3 separate regions of the Mus musculus genome follow, and regions 1 and 2 are each reported to be linked to region 3. Evidence: microRNA targets listed by miRTarBase, many of them from high-throughput screens and not tested one by one. Region 3 holds a microRNA gene; each other region holds the end of a gene's coding sequence.

What was found. The annotated mature microRNA mmu-miR-687 reads CUAUCCUGGAAUGCAGCAAUGA and lies in region 3 at 3,168-3,189, opposite strand. An mRNA with a match to its seed (bases 2 to 7 or 8) in the 3' UTR can be bound and repressed. Matches are read on the target gene's strand: a 7mer-m8 pairs with bases 2 to 8, a 7mer-A1 pairs with bases 2 to 7 and ends in A, and an 8mer does both.
Region 1: miRTarBase lists Ptdss1 as a target of mmu-miR-687. Seed matches in the 3' UTR shown: 7mer-m8 at 1,321-1,327 and 7mer-A1 at 2,071-2,077.
Region 2: miRTarBase lists Gli3 as a target of mmu-miR-687. Seed matches in the 3' UTR shown: 7mer-m8 at 3,836-3,842.

The regions. Positions count from the first base shown.
Region 1 is chr13:66,996,025-67,003,224 of GRCm38, forward strand. Ptdss1 (phosphatidylserine synthase 1) reads left to right here. Exons shown (of 13, transcript NM_008959.3): 13 at 944-2,377. The coding sequence ends at 1,053. 4933433G19Rik (RIKEN cDNA 4933433G19 gene) reads right to left here. Exons shown (of 9, transcript NR_045851.1): 6 at 7,115-7,200; 7 at 3,936-4,011; 8 at 2,526-2,664; 9 at 794-1,030. Among named protein-coding and RNA genes, the nearest start is that of 4933433G19Rik, 33 kb to the right of the region's middle.
Region 2 is chr13:15,725,704-15,732,903 of GRCm38, reverse strand. Gli3 (GLI-Kruppel family member GLI3) reads right to left here. Exons shown (of 15, transcript NM_008130.3): 15 at 2,878-7,200. The coding sequence ends at 6,123. Among named protein-coding and RNA genes, the nearest start is that of 4933412O06Rik, 73 kb to the left of the region's middle.
Region 3 is chr14:73,203,641-73,210,840 of GRCm38, forward strand. It overlaps Mir687 (microRNA 687), which reads right to left and starts at 3,211; the gene lies at 3,123-3,211. Rb1 (RB transcriptional corepressor 1) reads right to left here. Exons shown (of 27, transcript NM_009029.3): 21 at 3,575-3,679; 22 at 2,370-2,483; 23 at 2,104-2,267.

The DNA.
Region 1 (7,200 bases), not on the chromosome of region 3:
GAATTCTGCTTGCTTTCCAAGCACCCTGCAGTCTGCTGACCTGTGTGGCCAAAGGGGTTCACTAGACTGACCTTCTCTGGGCCCATCCAGTTACATAATCAGCCCTGGGCATTCCTCGTTCTCCAATAGAAAGAATTTATGTGTGCAAGTGATGCAGCATATGAAGTGTGTGTGCGTGTGAGAGAGAGAGAGAGAGAGAGAGAGAGAGAGAGAGAGAGAGAGAGAGAGAGAGAGAGAGGAGAAACTTTTCAGAACCTTTGGGACTGTGACAAATACTTCGAATGAAGACAAAATGCTTCTGGGCCTTTGGGGAGTGGCGTTAAGTGGCTGTCTTTGGTAAATATTTCACCCAGAACTGAACCAGAACACTGAAGAAGAGAGGGTTTAGGCTTAGCCACTCCCTTAGGGGCTGGCCACATCCTCATATCAGAGGAAACAGTAGCCCTAGTGTTACAATGTCACCTCAGGGCTGTCACTCAGAGCATCAGGTACCTTGCCTGTAAAGATCTTGATGTCTCTGCTAATAGTTTTAAAGTTATAAAGTCAAGAATCTTTTCCAACTGAGACCTTACAAAGCCTGTCTAACCGTTCAGTGTATACAGACTTGGGGAATCTATACTGTAGCTGTAAGCATAAGATGGATACCTACCAGTGTGGCTGAACTTTTATTAATGTTTATGCTTTCATTTGAACTCACTTCTGGTCCTCATGACTGTGTCCCAGACTAAAAATTACTTAGAACTCCAGTTTTATGGGACAGTTACCTGGTACACACAAGGCATAGACAAGACTGTCAGATTCCCCTGGCCTTAATTTATTAATGGGGCCACTAGAGGGACATCAAGTAAGAATTGGATTTTAGCTGAGAAGCATGGCAGATCCCAGGAGTCAGCCACAAAGCCCAGAGGCCCCTGGTGATAATGTGTTGGCTTTCTTTGGGCAGGTTCTGAAGACAGCCCACCGAAGCATTCAAGCAACCACGAAAGCCATTCTTCCAGAAGAAGGAACCGGCATTCTAAGTCCAAAGTCACTAATGGAGTTGGAAAGAAATGAAGGAAGCTAGTTAATGTCAGATGTTCCAGAGTGCCTAGACCCGAGAGGAAAACAGCATATTTGGACCTTCCTATGCAGAGATCATAATGTACGGAAAGAACCGAGGGAGCTTAGGGGATCGTGACTTGAGAGTGTAAGTCTTGTCTCCCATAGACCTGGACACACACTAGGCTGACCATGGCTCGGGGTCCTTTGCCAACTGGAAGAGTCTCTAAACTTCAGCGTATGGCCTGCATTCTCTGGTAGCAATACAGTGTGCTGGAAGGACAGGATAGCTGTTTATTCCCAGCTGCCAGCAGTGGCTCTCTGCTGGTGTGTCTTGTGGATGTTGTATAAATGTCTTCATTCAGATGTTGACTTAACTAACTGGCTAATGAACTGGTCGCTTGGTTTTATTTTTATGAGTCTGCCTGTCCATTTGATTGATTGTTTAAGTTCAGAGAGTCTGCTTTTACTTCATGTTTTTGAGTTAAATAGCTTCAAAGCTTCCAGAATCCACTGCTGAAATTGGGGGAGGGTTCCTTCTAGAGAAACAAAGGGTGGAAGGAGCTTTGGTGTCCCAGCTAAGCATACTCAGTCCCCAGCCACATGGCAGATGACCCCAGCCGGAGTGAAGAGGCTGGCTGCTGGCACTGGAGCCTCGGCTTCAGATTAGAACTGTTTTGTTCCCTTCCAGACACTGTCCAGACTGAGTGCACAAGAACGACCTTGCGAGCGGATCTGGGACAGTGGGGCTCCCTGCCAGGGTCCTTTTCCATGTGCTTGGTTTTTCCTCTGTGATGTTTTGCCTACTCTGTCTTTCTGGCTCATGTGAGGTGCTAGTGGGTATTAATTAACTTTCATCTGTGCCATGTTCTACTAAAACATTCTCCCTGTCTACCCTGGATCCTTGTTTTAAATATATCAGTTCACATTAAACAGCTCATCAATGATCTGTCTTTGTTAGAATGATGTTTCTTTGTATCTTATTAGTCTTTTAACTACTTGGAGGCAAGTTCATATTTTGCAGTTGACCTTAGGATAATATGTATGTATGTGTGTTCTATATGGTAAAGAAAGAAAAAAGAAAAAATATATTTTAAAGGGGCTTACACATATATGTCCTATCTGAACCTTCCAGAGTGATCCACAGGGAATGGAAGTGTATGCAGGGGCATTGTCTGTCACTATGGTCTTACTTACTAGGTTGGATTTTCTTTCTCAGACAAGTGGGCTGTAAAACAAACTTGCTACAAACAATCCTGCTGCTCACTCACCAAAGCACGATGATTTCTGTTTCTTTGCCTCCTTAAAGGGAGTCTTTGAACTATAAAAGTTATGTTTTATTTTGCTTTCTCTCTCTCTTTCTGTCCCTCCCTCCCTCCCTCCCTCCCTCCCTCCCTCCCTCCCTCCCTCCCTTCCTTCCTTTCTTTTTTGAAAAAGAATTCCCAGATGAGAGATTTAAATCAATCATGAAGAAAAACTCGACTCACCGTTATTGCTCTGGGTGAACACTTGAGTTAAGAGCCACCCACAGACTTGCTTTCTCAGCCAGCCACACATGTCCACTGGTCCACCCCAAGAGGCTATGGCAGGCCACAGCTCTAAACTTTGCCATAGTGTTCCATGAGCCTGTTTAAAGGGGAACAAAGAGGTACCTATCATTCCTCATCCCTCATTTTGCAGTTCTGGAATTGAACTTGGGGCCTCTTGTGTACTAGACACGGGCTCTGCTACTGAGATTTGGCTCTCTCCTCACATTCCATCAAACAAAACAGGCTTTTTTGGGGGGGTTTTCAAGACAGGGTTTCTCTGTATAGCCCTGGCTGTCCTGGAACTCACTTTGTAGACCAGGCTTGCCTTGAACTCAGAAATCCACCTGCCTCTGCCTCCCGAGTGCTGGGATTAAAGGCATGCGCCACCACGCCCGGCCAAAACAGGCTTTTATGAATATATTTATAACTTTTAAACATTGCTTTGCTTTGCAGATAGAAGAGTGTTTTATTTCTGTGCAATTTTGATAAGCCTAAAATTTTGTATTGCTCATATAGGTTGTATGAGGGTTTCCAAGTTTGTTTTCCAGGACAGTTCAGGGACTGGCACTGTGGGACTCATCTAGCGGGTAGGCCAACCCCTCTGAAGAGGCACATGCCCAACTTCTATAATTAGACAGAAAGTGCCTGTGGAGTGTGCAAGAATCAAAGCATACAAAGCATTATTTCTCTATGGCTTTGTAGGAAACAGCTAGGAAAGTCCTTAGATACTTTCCATGTGCATTGAATTCAAACTTTCATTTTCACTTTGAGAAAGTGTTTTAGCTACGGCAATGAGGAAACCAACACTGTGCATAACTGTGCCGTTTTCCCCCACACCATACCACTGGTCCTAGTCTAAGTTTCTGCCGACGTCTGGAAATTGACCCTAGGTTGATTGAAAGTAGAGCGTATGTTCCAGAGGTATCTGTTAGTGAGTGGTGACTATAAGTCATCTCATGACCCTCTTGAAAGATTGCTGGCTTTAAAGATACCACAGTTCATGGTGTAAAGCAGGAGGAGATTTTGAGTGTCTTTCTTGTCAAATCCTCTCCCTTTTGTTATCCTTGGTCCTTACAGGCCTCTCTCCTTTCCCTCATGTCCCTTTCACCTTTCACCAAGAGGCTTTGCCCACTTGCCCTCCCAGCCATGCTTAGATGTTCACTACCCCACTGAGGTTTTAGTGATACTCAGCATCTCGTAAATGCCAGCCTTTGCTGCAACTGCCTCCTAAGTGAACTTGGAAATCAAGGTCTCACCCAGGAAAATAAAATTAGTTCTATCAGTTCCAGCTTTCTTGGTTCCTACTTAGAAACCACTTGCTTTAGAGCATCCTAAGAAATAATACCTGCTTTGTTCAATAAGGCTTACCTTTTGAAATTTAGTCTAGAATGTTTGGAGGTAAATGGTGAATTTCCCAGCCTTCACAGAGTGAACAGAAGGGAGCCTGGGCAGAGGAAAAAAAGGTTTACCACTGGATGGGAAATAAGAAACTGGGCCTTTGGGGATAGACTGCAGTATACCCTCTAAACACTGGGTGCTTGGAACCCATTCGTTGTACTCGGTGACTGTCATGGGACTCCTGGGATCACCATATGTTTATTAGGTGAGTGTCACTTAAATATCTAGAAATCCAACAAGTGGACACTTGTACCTATGTATTTTTTATTTCTGTATGGAAAAAGACCTCTGGCTCCTGCATCCCAGCACCTAGTAGACCATCGCTTTTTTCTTTTTTTTTTTTTTTTTTTTTTACAAGGATGCATGTTGCTATGATTATATTTAAGATTTTGTTCTTTGCAGTAGATATTGGAGTGGCTGATACTGATGGGTCACAGTATTACTGCTCATCCAGAATTACTAGATTTTCATATCTCCCTTTATCACCTTTTATTCTAAACCTGATGATAAGACAGTCACAGGTAAAGGTTATAATATTTTTTTTTAGTCAGACTTTTGAAATTTGATGCAATAAATAAACATAGTAGCTTTTCAATTTTACTATCTTCTGTGGACTTAAAGTAATTTTGTTAGCATATATTGATTGTACGAAATAATATGTTTCCTTTCCATTCATGTATGCATTGTACTTAGATTATACTTCCCATCATTCCCTTTTGCTTTTCCTCTTACCCTGGTGGCCTCCTTTCTCTTCCCAAATAATTTAAAGGAATAATGACTAATGTCTACAAAAGAAGGGACAAATAGCTAGACTTGAATTGTTTAGCTTGAAGGCCTGCTAAATTGTAAAAGATCTTCCTTCTCTCTGATGTCTCCTAAAACTGTTCTTTGGTCCACTTTAAAATTTTCATCTGGGACTTTGTCTACCCTGCTATTACTTTCTTTGAATGTGTTGGACGGATTTAAAAGAAAAGAGAAGAAAATGACAAACAACAACAAAACAAAAACACAAGGGTTTTCTATGTATCCCAGGCTGGCCCTGAGATCACAGATGTCTTCCTTTTTCAGCCTACTGAGTGCTATGATTCCAGGCCTATAGAAACTTGAAGCTTCCTGACCTCTAAGGTGATATATTTTGCCACAGTCCCACACTGTTCAAAGGTTGCAATAGTCTAGGTCCCATTGAGGCTTCATATGGCTCAGCTTAGTTTATATTTCTCTATAATCTGGACCTCATTATTCATGCTGAAAACTGGCCTTTATATACAGTGTCCCTGACTCACTAGAGAAGTGCATGTCAGGCTAGCTTCCTACCCACAGTCCTAGGAAAGACTTCCAGGCCCCCTGCATGACTGACTGCTGTTTAATGCACAAAAGAGGGTATTAGCACATCTCGTCCACCAGCGCCTACTAATGACAGGAACATTATGGAGAAAATATAATTTGCTAGAAGACTTTGCTTGCCCAGCTGAGTCAACCAGCTTGAGGGCCTTTTCAGGTATCTGGACGTATGCTTACATTTTGTAGTATAACTATATGTTACTTACTGCATTTTCTTTGGTACTGGAATGTTCTGATGACATTGAAACTGTGAGGGTCTGTATATTGTGGGCTCCAATGGCCATAGTAGTCAGGCATTCACGTTCCAGGGTAGAGAGCCCTCTCCCCTTTCTACGTGCTGAAAAGAGGACTCTCTGTGGTTCCACAAACCACAACAAATGAGATTTGCCTATCATTAAAAGAAAGTGACTTCTCCAAATCTCATATAAAAGAACCAAAAGATTGTATTGGTATATGTAAAGTACACCTAATACCCTTCATTATAGGGTCAAATTGTAGGCAGGATGACAGAATGCTCCCTTTCTAGAAGTATGACCTCTGACTCGGCTCACTGTCATAACCAAGGGATGCTGGTCTCATTGCTCTGTATATCACAGGCTGATAAGGTTTGTTCTAGGCAGGTACAACCAGGAACGAGTAAAGTCTCTGGCTTGCCTGCTTATTAGGATCTCGTACCTTCTCTTGGAGTGGAAATACCCAGATCAGCTGCAGGAGGACAAGTTTTATATAGCACCATAGAGAACAAGTTTTCAAGACAACAGCACTTGGAACCTCTGAAACAACTGCATGTAGTTCTCAGAGCCCGTATATTTCCAGCAGCCTCCAAAACACAGGACTTCACTTATGCACCAGTTGCCAGAGTAATATCCTAATTCCAGAGGAAAGGTTGTCCCAGATGCTCACATGAATGTATGTTCTGTGAGCCCTGTAGTTTGATGGCCTTTTTCTTGGATAAGAGGCATGGGACAGTTGGACCCTTGTTCCTGAGTACTAGGCCAAGAAGAAGCTGTTAGGTCAACCCAAGGCTCTTTTTCGAGTCTGGACACAATGCTTATGTTCCTGTCCTGTTCTCCACCACCTGACAGAGCCTCTGTGCCTCCAGCCGCAGATGACTGGTGGACAGTCAGATTGTGTACGCCTCTTCTTCAAAGAGACTCAGGTATCAGGGCCTCATTTAAGGTGACCAAACTGCCACTTTCCATATGTTGGCTACAAGTCTAGTACTCGAAATTGGGGTCTGTCTAACCATTTGTGTACGTGGCCTGAACAGGCTAAGATTTCATCCCTAGAAACAAGATTCTACCTCTCTCTGGGAATCCTGTCCACTTCGCTCCCTCTGCCTGCAGTAATGTGATTTACAATCTGGAGAAGTCATAGAGCTTTGCCCTTCTCTTCTGAAAAAACAGAAAGTACTGGAAAGAATGTAAATTATACATAACAAATTTCTATAGTCACCAGTAATGGGATGGCTGGGGTGGGTTATTTTATTATATTTTTAATAAGGACTGCATGTGGCTTTAATTTCTAAGGCCCCATATTTCTAGGAAGAACAGATAACAGTGAAATGTCCTTCTGAGATAGTGGGTTTTTTTTTTTTTAATGGAAAATACTTCTTCATGACTTACTAAATACTTTGAAGTGATCATTCAACACTGATGAAGATGGGACAGTAGGTGGCAGTAACATTCTAATCTTTCTAGGATTAGCCTGTGTCAGTCCATCCCAATACCCAGTATTTATACTTAGCCACCTCCCAAATTTCACTTCGCAGGAGTTTTGGCTGGAGTAGTTTTGAGTTTTCTTTTTACCTCTCTTGGTGGAAATTCTGTTCAGGGATCACACTGCTACTGCAAGCAGGAAAAACAGCCTCAAAGTTGTCCTGGATCGTTGTGAG
Region 2 (7,200 bases), not on the chromosome of region 3:
AACTTTGTTGAAGATATTTGCTGGCCCTTTGAGAATCTTCATTCTTATCTACTCCTTTTACCTGTAGGTTTGGTCTTCTCATGTGTGTCCTGGATTTCCTGGATGTTTTGAGTTAGGATATTTTTGCATTTTGCATTTTCTTTGATTGTTGTGCCCATGTTCTCTATGGAATCTTCAGCACCCGAGATTCTCTCTTCCATCTCTTGTATTCTGTTGCTGATGCTCACATCTATGGCTCCAGATTTCTTTCCTAGGGTTTCTATCTCCAGCGTTGTCTCATTTTGGGTTTCCTTTATTGTTTCTATTTCCCTTTTTAGGTCTTGGATGGTTTTGTTCAATTCCATCACCTGTTTGGTTGTGTTTTCCTGTATTTCTTTAACGACTTCTACCTCTTTAACAGTGTTCTCCTGTATTTCTTTAAGTGATTTATTAAAGCCCTTCTTGAAGTCCTCTACCAGCATCTTGAGATATGATTTTGGATCCTAGTCTTACTTTTCGTGTGTGTTGGGGTATCCAGGACTGGCTGAGGTGGGAGTGCTGAGTTCTGATGATGGTGAGTGGTCTTGGTTTCTATTAGTAAGATTCTTACATTTGGCTTTCACCATCTGGTAATCTCTGGAGTTAGTTGTTATAGTTGTCTCTGATTGGAGCTTGTTCCTCCTGTGATTCTGTTAGCCTCTGTCAGCAGACCTGGGAGACTAGCACTATCCTGAGTCTCAGTGGTCAGAGTACTCTCTGCAGGCAAGCTCTCCTCTTGCAGGGAAGGTGCACAGATATCTGGAGTTCAGACCTGCCTCCTGGCTGAAGATGAAGGCTCAAAACAGGGCCTTTCCCAGATGTGTTGCCTCTGCAGTCTGTATGCTCACCTGCACAGACTGGTCTCCGAGGGACAGGGGACACAAGATGACTCTCTCATCTGCTCTGGTGGTCAGAGTCCTTCCAGGCAGACACCTCTCCTCTGCCTGGAATGTCTGGAGCCCGAAACAGGGTCTGTCCCAGAAGCTGTGTTGCTTCTGTAGTCTGCACTCTCACCTGGGCAGACTAGTCTCTGAGGTATCCGGACCTAAGATGGCCCCCTTACCTGCTCAGGCCAAGCCCTCCCAGGCAGAAACCTCTTCTCTGGCGGGGAAGGAGCTCGGATGTCTGGAGCCCGAAAAGGGGTCTGTCCCAGAAGCTGTGTTGCTTCTGCAGTCCTCTCATTCACCCTTCCAAATTCAAGCTTTCTTATTTTTCCCCAAATTTATTTGGATACATTTTGTGAGAGATCAAAGCATTTGGGGGCAATGGAATTTCCCCTTGGGAATGAATAGGGCATGCTCAAGTTCATGTGTGCCTGTGTTTACAAAGGATGCTCTGATACTGTGTCTTGGGATACCCAGTCAGCACCCGTTTCCCAGCAACAGTGCTAAATTGATGGCATACAACATGCATTGACAAAGTGCAAAGGAGACCTTAGACGGTAATGTGGAGAGCACTACTGCAAACCAGTGTGAAAATGCAAAGACAAAGATATTTCTAAATGGAGTTAGTCATTGAAAGCCACGTTAAAGTAAGCCTCCATGGGGCTGGAGAGATGGCTTAGTGGTTAATGGCACGGGCTATTCTTCCAGAGTTTGATTCTCAGCACCGACATGGTGGCTCAAGACTACATGCAACCCTAGTTTTAGAGGATCTGATGCACTCTTCTGGCTCTGTGGGTACCAGATATACACATGGTTTATAGGCATATATACAGACAAAACACTCATACACATAGAATAAAGTAGAAATTTAAAAGAAGTGTGCTGGAAAAGTCTCTATATTGCCAGGTTTTCATTTATGTGTTCGTGTATCTCTAGATAAAAGGATAGTATATAAAAAGGAGACAAGTTGTCAGATTTTTAACCCTCTTATCACCCTTCCACAGAATTGGACAAATCAGTAAAAATAAGAAACATAGGCCTATTAACATGCTCTGTACAACCTTGTGTATGTGAGGTGAATGTCTTATACTATCAATTAATTTGCCAGCATTTTCATCTCCTTCTAGTGAATAAATACAGTAAATTCAACTGGTGTGATGGATACTATTCTTAGTTGTCACTTTTACTACATCTGGAATTAACAAAAGCCCAAATGACTGGGCATACCTGTGAGGGATTTTTTTTTTTCTTAATTAAATCATCTGGAAAGACTCACTTCTAATCCATGTCTTTGAGGCAGGATGGTAAACCTCTAATCCAGATTTCTAAGGTGGGAGGATCTATCTTTAACTTAGACTTCACTTCTTGGAAGAAGGAAATAATCGCTTTCCTTGTTTGCTCTTGTTAGCAAGTATATTTCTTCACTGGCATTAAAGCCTACTTCTTTGGGATTTCAGAGAACACTGAAGACCATGGATTAAACAACTACTGGATTTTTGGACCTTCTGTTAATATGTAGCCATCGTTGGATTAGCTAGACCACAGCTTGTAAGCCAGTTTAATAAATCATACACACACACAAACACACACACGATCTCTATGATCTCTGTCTCTCTAGAGACCTCTAACATAAGTCTAATATAACCCTGGAGCTAGAGTTGCATGCCTTTATGTGCTACCATGTGGGTGCTGAGAATCAAAGCTCAACTCTCTGGAACAGCCAGTGCCATTAACCAATGAGCCATCTCACCAGCCCATGGAGGCTTACTTTAACACAGCTTCCAGTGACTATCTACATTCAGAAATGTTGTCTCCTTTGCTGTTCACACTGGTTTGCAATAGTGCCCTCCACATTACCATCAGAAGTCTCCTTCCCATGGACTCACTGGGGAGTCAACTATAGCCTGGGGAGTTTTCTTGAGAACGTGTCCTTTTCTTAAAAACAGGAATTAAATAAAAGAAATCCAGTAGAATATTTCAGTACAAAGTTTTTTTTATTGACACTGTAAGAAACATTTTTATTATTTATTTATTTTTTTCTTTGTTATAAAAGGACTAAGTGGTTCTGAAAGCCAAGGCAGAGTTCATGTTTCTGGGCTGCCATTCTCATGGCTTAGGAGCACTGAGCAGCCACAGGCTTTTCCAAGGAAGGCCCGAGGCCATCACATCCCAACTCTACGTCTACAATACTTGAATGTATTTACATTGTGTTGTTCTTTAAAAAGGATTACACATTTTCTTCTTTAAAAAATCTAAAAAATGGTGGCGAAAAGGAACACAGTTTATTTTACACATCTGCAGGATATACAAGCGTAACTTGTCAGAGGAGAACACCCTCCTATTAGCTTCAAACAACACAGGAAATCGGGTCACCCAACACCGCAGACTGCCACAGTCCTGTGTTCACTTCCTGGTGACACTGTCTGGGCATGCAGCCTCTGAGTGCTGACTGGACAACAACAACAACTGGTCCTTCTCATCGACAAGAGAAACATAAAATAAGGCACATACATTGCAAGAATCAAAACCCGTGGCTCAGGACAAGCCAACACGTGAGGAGCAGGGAAGTGAGTTCTTTAATTCTTTAGAAAAATTATGGAAAAAAACAAACAAACACCAAACCATTTAACACAGACATTAAACAAGAGTACCATGTATGAGCCTGTACTTTCATTAAAAAGCAGCTGTGTGTGACATGAGAGAGCCAAAGCTGTTTCTCCTAAATACAAGAGCCAAGGACTGGAAAGGGGCTGCTGACCAGGAGTGGGATTTTGACAGGAAAGACCAAGCCTAAAGAGATCTCATGTCCCATGGGTTAGCTATAGTGACCAAATGATCATTCTTGAACTGGACTATCAGGACAGATTGGTGAAATCTTGGGATAGAACACTTTTGACTCTCCTTTTTTTTTTTTTTTTTTTTTTTTAAATCTGTATCCTGAAATCTTCATATCAAGAAAGGTCAGATAGTGAGTGGAAACATCAACTCCAAAAATCTAAAGGCAATAGCTTGAAAAATAAGGATGAAAAAAAAAAACAATGAAAAAAGAAAACAATGAAAAAGTCAAAAGCAGAAGGTAAGAAGGCAGGGGTGCTGGCTCTGTGCACTGCATTCCTAGGAGGGACCGCTAACATGGAAAATCACTGCACTTGAGAACATCAAGGTCACATGCAAGGCCTCCACCTAGAGAGGTCTCTGCTGCAGGAGGCAATGGGTGTGACCAGAAACCAAGCTCATTCTTCTTGCTGAGGAAGGAAGAATTCCTGAACCCCTTCTTTGAAATCAAAAGTAATAAAGAGATTTGGCCAAATAATAAGGCATGCCAGGTCAGACCCAAACCAGAGATTAAAAAACAAAAAAGACTTTTGATAAATGAAATTCAGGGATTCCATCACCCATTTTGTGATGACACTGTGACCTGTTTGAGGCAAAAAGAAGCCTTGCTTTATTTACTCTCCTGAACTCAGACCAGTAATTCCCCTTTCTTGTGGGCTGTCCTTTGATTTATAAGGAACCTCTGGGAGAAGGCTGCAGGGCACGGTGAACTTACAGATGGTTTGACTGGTCCTGGGGACATCTATCAGAAAGCTAGCTTAGCCACAACGTCATCCTACATGGCAAAGTTTCTTCCCTGGTGAAGTTTGGGCTCCAAAAGAGAGAAAACAGGCCTAAGTGAAATTGGCTGGTCATAGCATCCTTCCTATTACCTAACACCTACTGGGTTTCGCCTTCCTACTCCTAAATTTACAGGCAGGATTTAAGAGGAGAAGTCACACAACCCGGTCAATAACAGCCTTGGGGAAATTCCATGTTGGGGCTGATGGGTAAACACTTTAATTGTTTACGGTTTTAAAGTAGTATGCTAAGATAATCCCTGAACTCTGTGTACACACAGTATGACTCTCATATCTGATCTACATGTGAAGAGCAGCTGCACTGTGTAAATCTTTAAAATCTGAATACAAAACAAAAGCCCTAGTCCAATGGTAAGGACTAATGGTATCTGAAATTCACATGGCTACTAAACATCAACTTTCATGCTCTCCAGTGCTAAAACTGGTTAAAGTAATTTATTTCTGATGTCAATGTATGTGAGTTTTGCCTTTTATAACTAGGTTTTACACATCTTTCCTTTATAATAGGGCACTTAGAAAGGACATATTCTCTTGCTGTAGTGAATTTAATAAACGGTAGTGATGTATCCAGTTGTGGGCTGCTTAAATACCTACTTAGAGCTATGTATAGTCAATTCAATTCTCAGTTACCTATGACAATGAGGAAAGAGGTGGGACTAATGAATAATTATAGCAAGTCCAAAAAACAGTCCTCCAAGTAATTCTACCCAATTGTTTCAACCTATAATTGGTCTAACTTCGTACCAAAAAGCTAAAAGTGTGACACATCTGAACACCAACTGCCTGTCCACTCTCACTGCAGTGCTAAATAACACTGAATGTTCATAAAGGTGAAGGGAATGTACAGGAGATAATGGAGAGCTGACCATATAGACATACCCACGGGATGCGTACTTACATAAGAATTACCCCCTATAAAAACCCTCATCAAACTACTTCATTTCCAGGATCCCCACATTTCCACTTTTGTGAAGCTGTTAAAAGTATGCCCTGAATTGAATCAAGGTGGAGGACACGTGAAAACCTGCTATTTATACTAACTATAGTGCACCCACAAATAATCTTCAAGCTCACTATTCATTCAATTCTTGTACTCAGTGTGGGAATAAAAAATACACATACACACATAAAAGCAAGTCACTGAGTACTGTAAAGAAAAACTTTAAAAAGGTGGACCTGTTACCCCTTGGTCACAAGCCCACCAATTCCTAGTTCCTGGGTTAGCAGAGAAGCAGGCCAAATCTTTTAACTTGATGACTTCTCTTCTAAAAGAAAGAACATGCGCAGTATACATTTACATTGGTTCACTCAAAAGAGGGCAGGCTTACAGGTTTAAAAAAATACAAAAAACAAAAAAACAAGGGTGATTTGAATGTCACAATACTGATTCAAACTGAAATGGAAGACAGTTCCTCCCCTAGAATACCTTAGGGTTTTTCAGAGTCCTTTTCCATAAAAGGAATATACTTGAGACACATCCCAATCAGGTGAGATGAGATTGCTAAAATACACACAGAACTTAAAAAAGAAAAAAAAATCCCAAGTCATTTCAGTCTTTGTGTTTGTGGTCCTCCTTGCCTACCGCCTACTGCATAACTGCAAGGAACTTGCTTTCTTCTGCAAGGGAGGTCAGCAAAGAACTCATATCCCCGATAGCCATGTTGGTGGTGCCCATGGATAGGGATGGGAATGGGAGGGATGCCCGCGGAGTGGTGAGACGGGAGGAGCTGTGGGAAAGGTTCTGAATAATACTTGGGCTCAAGGCCCCTGACATTAGGCTGGTATGGTCCCCATCATCTATGATGGCATCAAAATCAATCTGCACACCTTCTAGGTCATGACTCTCAAAGCTGTCAACTGTGCTTGTTACCTGGTTAGCACCTGGGGAGAGTAACTCAGAGTTTTCAGTGCCATTCCCTTGGAGCAGGCAGTTGGCATCTGAGAGGGAGAACGAGCCAGCTTTCCTGTCTTGCTGACTGAAGCCCATGGTTTGGTCATAGAACTGACCGGAATAATTCTGCACGGTAGAGCAGAGCTGCTGGGACTGACCTTGTGCCTCCATTTTGATGCTGTTCACCCTGCTGCTCTGACTCATGTCACTGAGCTGTCCTTGTTGCAGAGTGAGGTTGCCCCTTGGCATTGCCTGACGCCTGTTACCCCCATAGCTGGCACAGGGCTGGTAGCCCCTGATAGCTGCCATGCTTGATGGCTGGCTGCTGTTGTCCTGAGTCCCTGGTAGGCAGCTCTCTGTCCCTTGATAGATGTTGATATGTGAGGTAGCACCAACCTGCCCTAGTACCTGTTGACCAGGGCGGCTGGGCCCCTGGTGTTGCATGCTGCCACTGAGTAGCTGATGGGCAATGTATCCCTGTCCCATTTGATCTTGGGTTTGCATGCCATTCACTGTGTTGCCAGCTAACTCATTTGGTGCCACGGACAGGCTGAAATCTAGCAAACCCCCATTCTCTTGCAAGCTGTTGCCTTTTAGCTTGGACCCTTGAATCCCTGTACCACAGGCATGATCTAGAGCACTGGAAGTCAGTGGCTGCCTGTTGAGCTGGCTCCCATACTGCTGGGTCTTAAAGGGCTGTTCATGGAAAGTATTTCCATTGGTGCCAAGTCCATCCCCACTGTGGATTGCAAAGTGCTCTGGGCCATTGTAG
Region 3 (7,200 bases):
CCCATGTGTGCCATGGCATGCGAGCCCCGCTCATCCCAAGAAATATAACTTTATAATGTATGCTTATAAAGAAATAATCACATTTTAATTAGTATTTATATTGGTATTTAGTAAATGCTATTTGTTATGTGAGATACTTATTCCATTTGTCTTCATTTCAGCCACATTACAAGGGGTTGAAACTAGGGCCTTGTCAAATGTGTTAAGCTAGAACTCTATCGCTAAGCTACATCCCAAAACTTTGACCTTTTAGTTTAAGACAGGGTCTCACCGAGTTGGCCAGCAGGTGTAGCCTCCTAAGCAGCTGAGATTATAGGTCTATGTTACCAGACTTAATCTTAGTTATAATTTATATTTTTGATAATTAAGGTGAAAAAGCATTTCTATATGTAGCTCAATAAAGAAGTAGTAGCTATGTAGATTGTCCTGTCTTCCATCTCTTTGGTTAAGTGACATCCTCCCACGCACATTTGATTAATCAGAGTACCTAAGCATGCTGCATGAACAGAATGCCACAGTTCTCTAACGCTTTACCAGTGATGTGCCCATTGGGATGCTTAATAGTGTGACCTTTTCCCTGGCTAAAATTAGCACCAATGCACGCTGGGCTTGTTGTTTCCTTCCTGTACTTGAGAAACTGAAGCAGTGAGTTTGAAGCTACCCTGGGTTACATATTGAAAGATAAAGCTTCTTAGAGGAAAAAAAAATAAGATTAGCAACTGGGGAGGTAGGAACTGGGAAGAGGGGAGGGTAGCAATCAGAATGTATGGTAAATAAATTAATAAATTAATGGGAACAAAGAATAGCAATACAGAACTGATTTTGATTAAGATCAGCAAACAGCCATCATTATAATCATAATATGGATTATTTATCACCATCAGAAACTTCCAGAGTATACACTGCCAAGTCATGTGGCAGCATGGGACTCTGTACATTTACCTAAGAAGACATGGTGTTACATCTTAGCATGTTACACAGTGAGCTGAGGACACCTGTACACAGATAATCAGTTACAAAGCACATCATACAGAGAGGGATCTGGACACACACAGCAGCCTTTCACCGTATTTCCAGTTATGTTTTACTTCATGTTTTTCTACAAAGTTTGAAAATGTATTCACAAGTGTGCATTTCTCATGTAATTACTGTACTACTCGGGTAGCTTCTAAGAAGCTAATAAAGTGCTTCTTCTCATTTACTTTTCTTGCCCACCAGGTACAAACTACAGGTACTGAAAACGGCTGCTGAGATGGCATTAACTATACTAGTTAATGGGACTTCTGCTTTATAAACATCCAGCCAGTTTCAAGTAGCCTATGATAACACCTAAGTAGTCCAGTGAAGGGCTTCAAAGCCAGACTCCAAAGCGTATATCCTTATTTCTATTTCTGTGTGTGAATGATCTGTGTGTGTGAGTGTGAGCAAGTGTCTCAGAATCAGAGAACAACTTTTGTAAGCTGGTTCTCTGCTTCTTCTATCCAGGACTCAAACTCAGGTCATTAGTTCTGTGGCGAGTACTTTCATGGGTGGTACATGCTGCCAGCCCTAATGACTCCATTTTCATAACAAGCAAAACACTATAATCCATGGAGCTTACAGTAAATTTTTAATAAAGATTCTGGGTGTGATGGCATACACCTTTAATCTCAGCAGTCAGGAGGTAGAGGCAGGTGGATCTCTGAGTATGTACCCTGCCTGTTCTACTTAGCAAGTTCCAGGCCAGCCAACGGCTACATAGTGAGACCCTGTTTCAAACAAACAAACATGTTAACCTAAAATGTTCTACTTTGATGGCTTATGAAACTATTAGTGTTTTGAGGCACACGTGGATATCGGTTCTTAAGCTATACACAGAAGAGACCTCAGCAGCTAGGCAAGCACGAGTGATACACAAGCCCATCCAGGCACACACCTTTTCTTTGCCCCCCACCCCCCAAAAAAACCCTTTTCACACATTCACTAAATGCACATAAAGAAATCAGACATTCAACAGCCTATCCCATTTTGAATTTTAAAAAGCTTTACATTTTCATGTTTAAATCAAAATTGCCAAGTGCAGTATTACTGTTTTCAGCATTCCCTTAAAAAGGAAACACCAACCTTGATCTCGGAGTCATTTTTGTGGGTGTTGGCAGACCTTCTGAAATTTTATAAGGACTCTTTAGGGGTGATATATAGATGTTACCTCCAGGAATCCGTAAGGGTGAACTAGAAAACTTGTAAGGGCTTCGAGGAATGTGAGGTATTGGTGACAAGGTAGGAGGCTAGACCCAAAACAAAAGAAAAAAAATCATCGATGTAGTATTTTGGTAGGATCCATTATATTGTTATTAGATTTATCCAATTAAAGAATATTTTCAACATACCCTGGTGGAGGCATACTGTAAAATATTTGTTTTTAGTCTCTGCATGAAAACGGAGTTATAGAATACTATAATGGAATCAAACTCCTCTTCTCTGATCAAAACACGTTTAAAGGTCTAAGGAAAAAAAACATGTTAAATAAATTTAAGAACTTCTCTTTAACTTTTATTTTAAAATAATTGTATTTAGTTTTATTTAAAAAACACATTTTATACAGAAAACAATAATCTAACCAAGGCTCCCTTAGACTGAAATTATAGGTACCCTATTTAAAGTGAAATGTCACCAAGGTGATCCAGAGAAGGGGCCTGGCAGCCACCGACAGAATGCTGGCCATTCTACAAGGGAGTTAGGCTGTGCTAACCAAAACCCAGCACCATCAGCACTACTATACAGACAACATTCACTGGCCCGTAGCAGCTTTCAACCCCTCATCTAAAGGGTTTAGAACATGTACACCACTCTCCTGCAAGAAACAGATTTTTCGTAGTAGAAACAGATTTTTTAAGTAGATTTTTACAAACAAGTTTTTGTTTAATAAGCAGGGTCTAGCTATGCAACCTCATACTTCGTGACATCTTCTTCTCACTTATTCTGAATGAGAATTACAGGTCTGGGACACCAGGTCCCACTTGTATAAATGTTCATCAGGTAAAACTAAAGACATCTTATGGAGTGCCTCTGTTAAACAATATGTATATAACCAATTTAGAAAATAACTCCAAATATATAATGCAAACTAAACTGGTTTGTATCACTTTCCAAGAATACAATGACAGACTGAAACAATAACCCAGGATTCATTGCTGCATTCCAGGATAGTGTAAAATGTGTGTCAGACTATGTGTGTTTTACCATGATAGCATCTGTGGGAGAAGAATTTAGAGGTATAAAATGGGCTTGCACTGGGAAATTTTACTAGGTCTTTATAAGGACTGACTTATAGTATCTTTTCCTGCGGAAAAATAAAAACTATATGTTATGTCAAAGTTTATTTCAAATACCCCAGTTATTATTATATACAAATATAGTACTATTTATGAAGATTTGGATTTCATAGTTTGCCATAGTTTTATAATTATACTTCAGTTACAAATAATTAACCAACACTAAAGAAGTAAATAAGGATATATGATCTCTATTTAACAACTGAAGTAAACTATGAATACTGATTTATTTTTCAGTCTTACCATGAGCGGCTACCTACCTCCTGGGCAGCGTGAGGAAGATCCTTGTAGGCAGTGACGATGATTTTGAACTTGAGGTCGATGTTCTTCACCTTGCAGATGCCATACATAGAGCACATCATAATCTAGCAAGCGAGTGACAGAGGCATGAGGGACCATACTACCTCACCTGGCTCTTTTAAGTATTATTAAAAGAAGGAAATTTAATTTCTTCTGAGTTTTCCCCTTATTCTGAGCTGTTCAAAAGTCTACATAAGGTATTTAATCAAAACATTTGTATTTACAGAACAAAATGCAAGCAGCTAACTCAATTACTCATGACTGACTACCAAGTTTGTAAAGTACCCTGACTTTGGCTTCAGTTCTTTAGTATATATCAAAAGTATTGAAACTCTTAGAACAAGCTAATTGTATGATGAATACTGTTTTAAGGCTGTGTGAAAAGTTTCAAGCTATCAACTGAAGTGACATGTAATAATCTAGGGAGTAAGAAAGTGCTGCTGACAGACCTTACATTGCTCATGGTGTTGTGATCTGTGATCTGAATGTAGGCTGGATCTGTTTTGTTGCTCAATTTTCATCAGAACATATCCTTATGATAAATGGATTTTCTATATGGTATCTTTCAATAAAACAACATTTAAAATGTAAAACTAAGATTTGAAAATGATTCCCTGGGGCCTTAAATATCAATTTTTAAAACGGCTTTTTTGGTCTAGTTCAAGTGTTGGTCATTTCTGTACCATTTTTGCTTCCATCTGCTCTGAGCAAAGGTTTCTATCCCCACCCCTGCTCAGTGTGTGATGACTGAGCTTCCCACCGAGCGCCACTGATGACGACAGACCAACTGATAGTCTTCTTCTACTTTAATATCTTCACGTTTCACTCATAAAACTCGGAATTGCAAAAAAAAAAAATCTCTAGGAATCTGGGTTTCCCTTTTATAGAAAGTGGCAGGAACATAAAATAATAGCTATCTATTTAAAAACACAGTGTACTGCAGCTTATACATCCAAATACATGTTAAGTTATAATTATGTTTTTGTTTAAAATATCATTCTTGTTGGGAACATTACCAGTCTTACTGAAATAAGAGGATTATATGAGAATATTATGAAAATTATGCACCACTAAAAGAACTAAGATGACACTAAGTTCCTCAAGTTATGCAGATGCCAATATCGACTGAAAAGTAAAAAAGCTAATTTTGAATTACTAAACAGTAAGTGTTCACACACACACACACACACACACACAAATCCCCATACCTATGGGACCTCATTGGTGAATTCAGCAAAATTCCAAGAAGAAAAAGACTCAATATCAATATCAATTCTTAAAAAGTTCTTCTGAAATTAGAAGTTCCCAACTATCTGTATGAAGCTAATACTTTGCTGATACAAAAATCACACAGATCAACAAAACAATGAAATAAAAATAATTTCCTTTATTATTAAAGAGAATAGAATACATAGGAGTATAGTTAATAAAATAAATGTAAGGGGCTGGAGAGATGGCTCAGCAGTTAAGAGCACCAACTGCTCTTCTGAAGGTCCTGAGTTCAAATCCCAGCAACCATATGATGACTCACAACCATCTGTAATGAGATCTGATTCCCTTTTGTGGAGTGGAGTATCTGAAGACGGCTACAGTGTACTTACTTATAATAAGTAAATAAATCTTTAAAAAAATAAATGTAAGACTTGTATTCTGAAAACTATAAACTATTATTGAAAGAAATTAAAGCCTGGAAGGATGGGAAGGAGCCGCATCCTCCGTATGGATTGAAGACTTCATGCTACATGTGACATCCCCCAAACTGACACATTAGCCCGTGAACTTTCTTTCAAAATCTTCAGAGAAAATGACAAGTCAGTCCTAAAACTCACATGGAAATTTAAGTTTCAGGACAGTTAAATTGATCTTGCAAAAAGAACAAAGTACAATTGTGTCTCTTTATTCCAAAAAATTGGAATGCTATAGTAACTAAGACAGTGTATTCTCACCAAAATAGCTACATAGATAACAGACTGGAAATGAGTCTCAGGAATAAACATGTGTACACTAAAAAAAAAAAAAAATCAATAGACTTTCAACAGCTGTCAACAGAGAAAAAGAAAAAGAATAATAATAAAAAAAAAGGATGCATTTCAAGAGATGGTGTGGGAATGGGCATAGCTCAGTGAAGTGTTTGCCACAAAGTAAGAGGCCCTGGATTCACACCAAGGAGAAAGAGTGAGAGGAAAGAGGGGGGTGGGGCTCCTGTGCTGGAACAACTGGAGGGAGAAGTCCTCCCCTGCCCTCTTGCAAAACTAAGTCAAAGTGGATTGAAACTGAAACAGAAAACTAAGAGCACAAAGCTCTTGGGAAAAATGAGGTCTTGATGCCTCCAAACTTGACAATGTTTTTGTTCATACATCAAAATACCAGTAGCCAAAACAACCAACCATCACCACCAACAACAACAAAAAAAAAAGAAGCAAAAAACAAAACAAAAAACAAACCAAAGATGACCTGAAGTTTCTCAGAGGATAAAACATTTTCAAAACACATATTTCATAGAAAAAGATATATACAGAACATATTTTTTTTTTAAATCATTGCCGCCTGTTGTGGTGGCTGTGCCTTTAATTCCAGAACTGAGGGGCAGACTTAGGCAGAGCTCTGTGAGTTTGAGGTCTGTTTGCACACCGCCACGCTCAGTGAGGAAGACTCTTGCTGTCTTTTCAGAAAGGATTTTAACACACACTTCTCTAAAGCAGATGTTCGCTATCATTAGCTACCAGCTACATATGCCTATGATCCAGCCCCAGGGGACCCAATGTCTCTGGCCTTCACAGATACTGTAAACATGCATGTACCTACACATAGAAACACCCTCCCACACACACTTAAAAATAATAAATCTTTAAAAATAAAACATAAATTGGTAAAGCCATTTTAGAAAATATCCCTGCCATTTCTCAAAAAGGTTAAAGATTTAACATATGACCCAGAAATTTTACTTACATATACATAGAAAAATAAAAACATGTTTTACAAACCTTATATATGAATATTGACATTATTCATAATACATCAAAGAAGAAATAATCCAGTTTCTATCAACTGATGAATTATAAACATAATGTAGTATGTGACAGAAACTACAACACAGATGAACCTTGAACCTGTGCTCTATAAAGAAGCCATCCACACTCAAGGCTGGGGACGAAGTTCAGTGGAAGAACATTTGCCTAGGATTTGCAAGGTCATAGAACTCAGTCAGGACCCTACCCTGCACACCTGCACACACGTGCGCGCGCGCGCACACACACACACACACACACACCCTAAATATGAAATTACATATGATTCTATTTACATAAAATGTTCAGATTCGACAAATCTACAGAAAAAGAAAGTAGATTTATGTTGTTGAGGACTCTTAGAGACAACAGAGTTTCTCTTTGGTGTGAGAAAATGGTTTAAATAAAATAGATTGTGTTAGTAGTTTTACAACTCTACAAATATACTAAATCACTGAACTATACATTTAAAAATGTATGCTTTGATAAACTGCACACACTCCTCTAAATGTTTTTTATCCCCTTTAAGAAGAAAAAGGAAGCTAGGAGGAATTATTCTGTTTATAAGCCCCACTTTC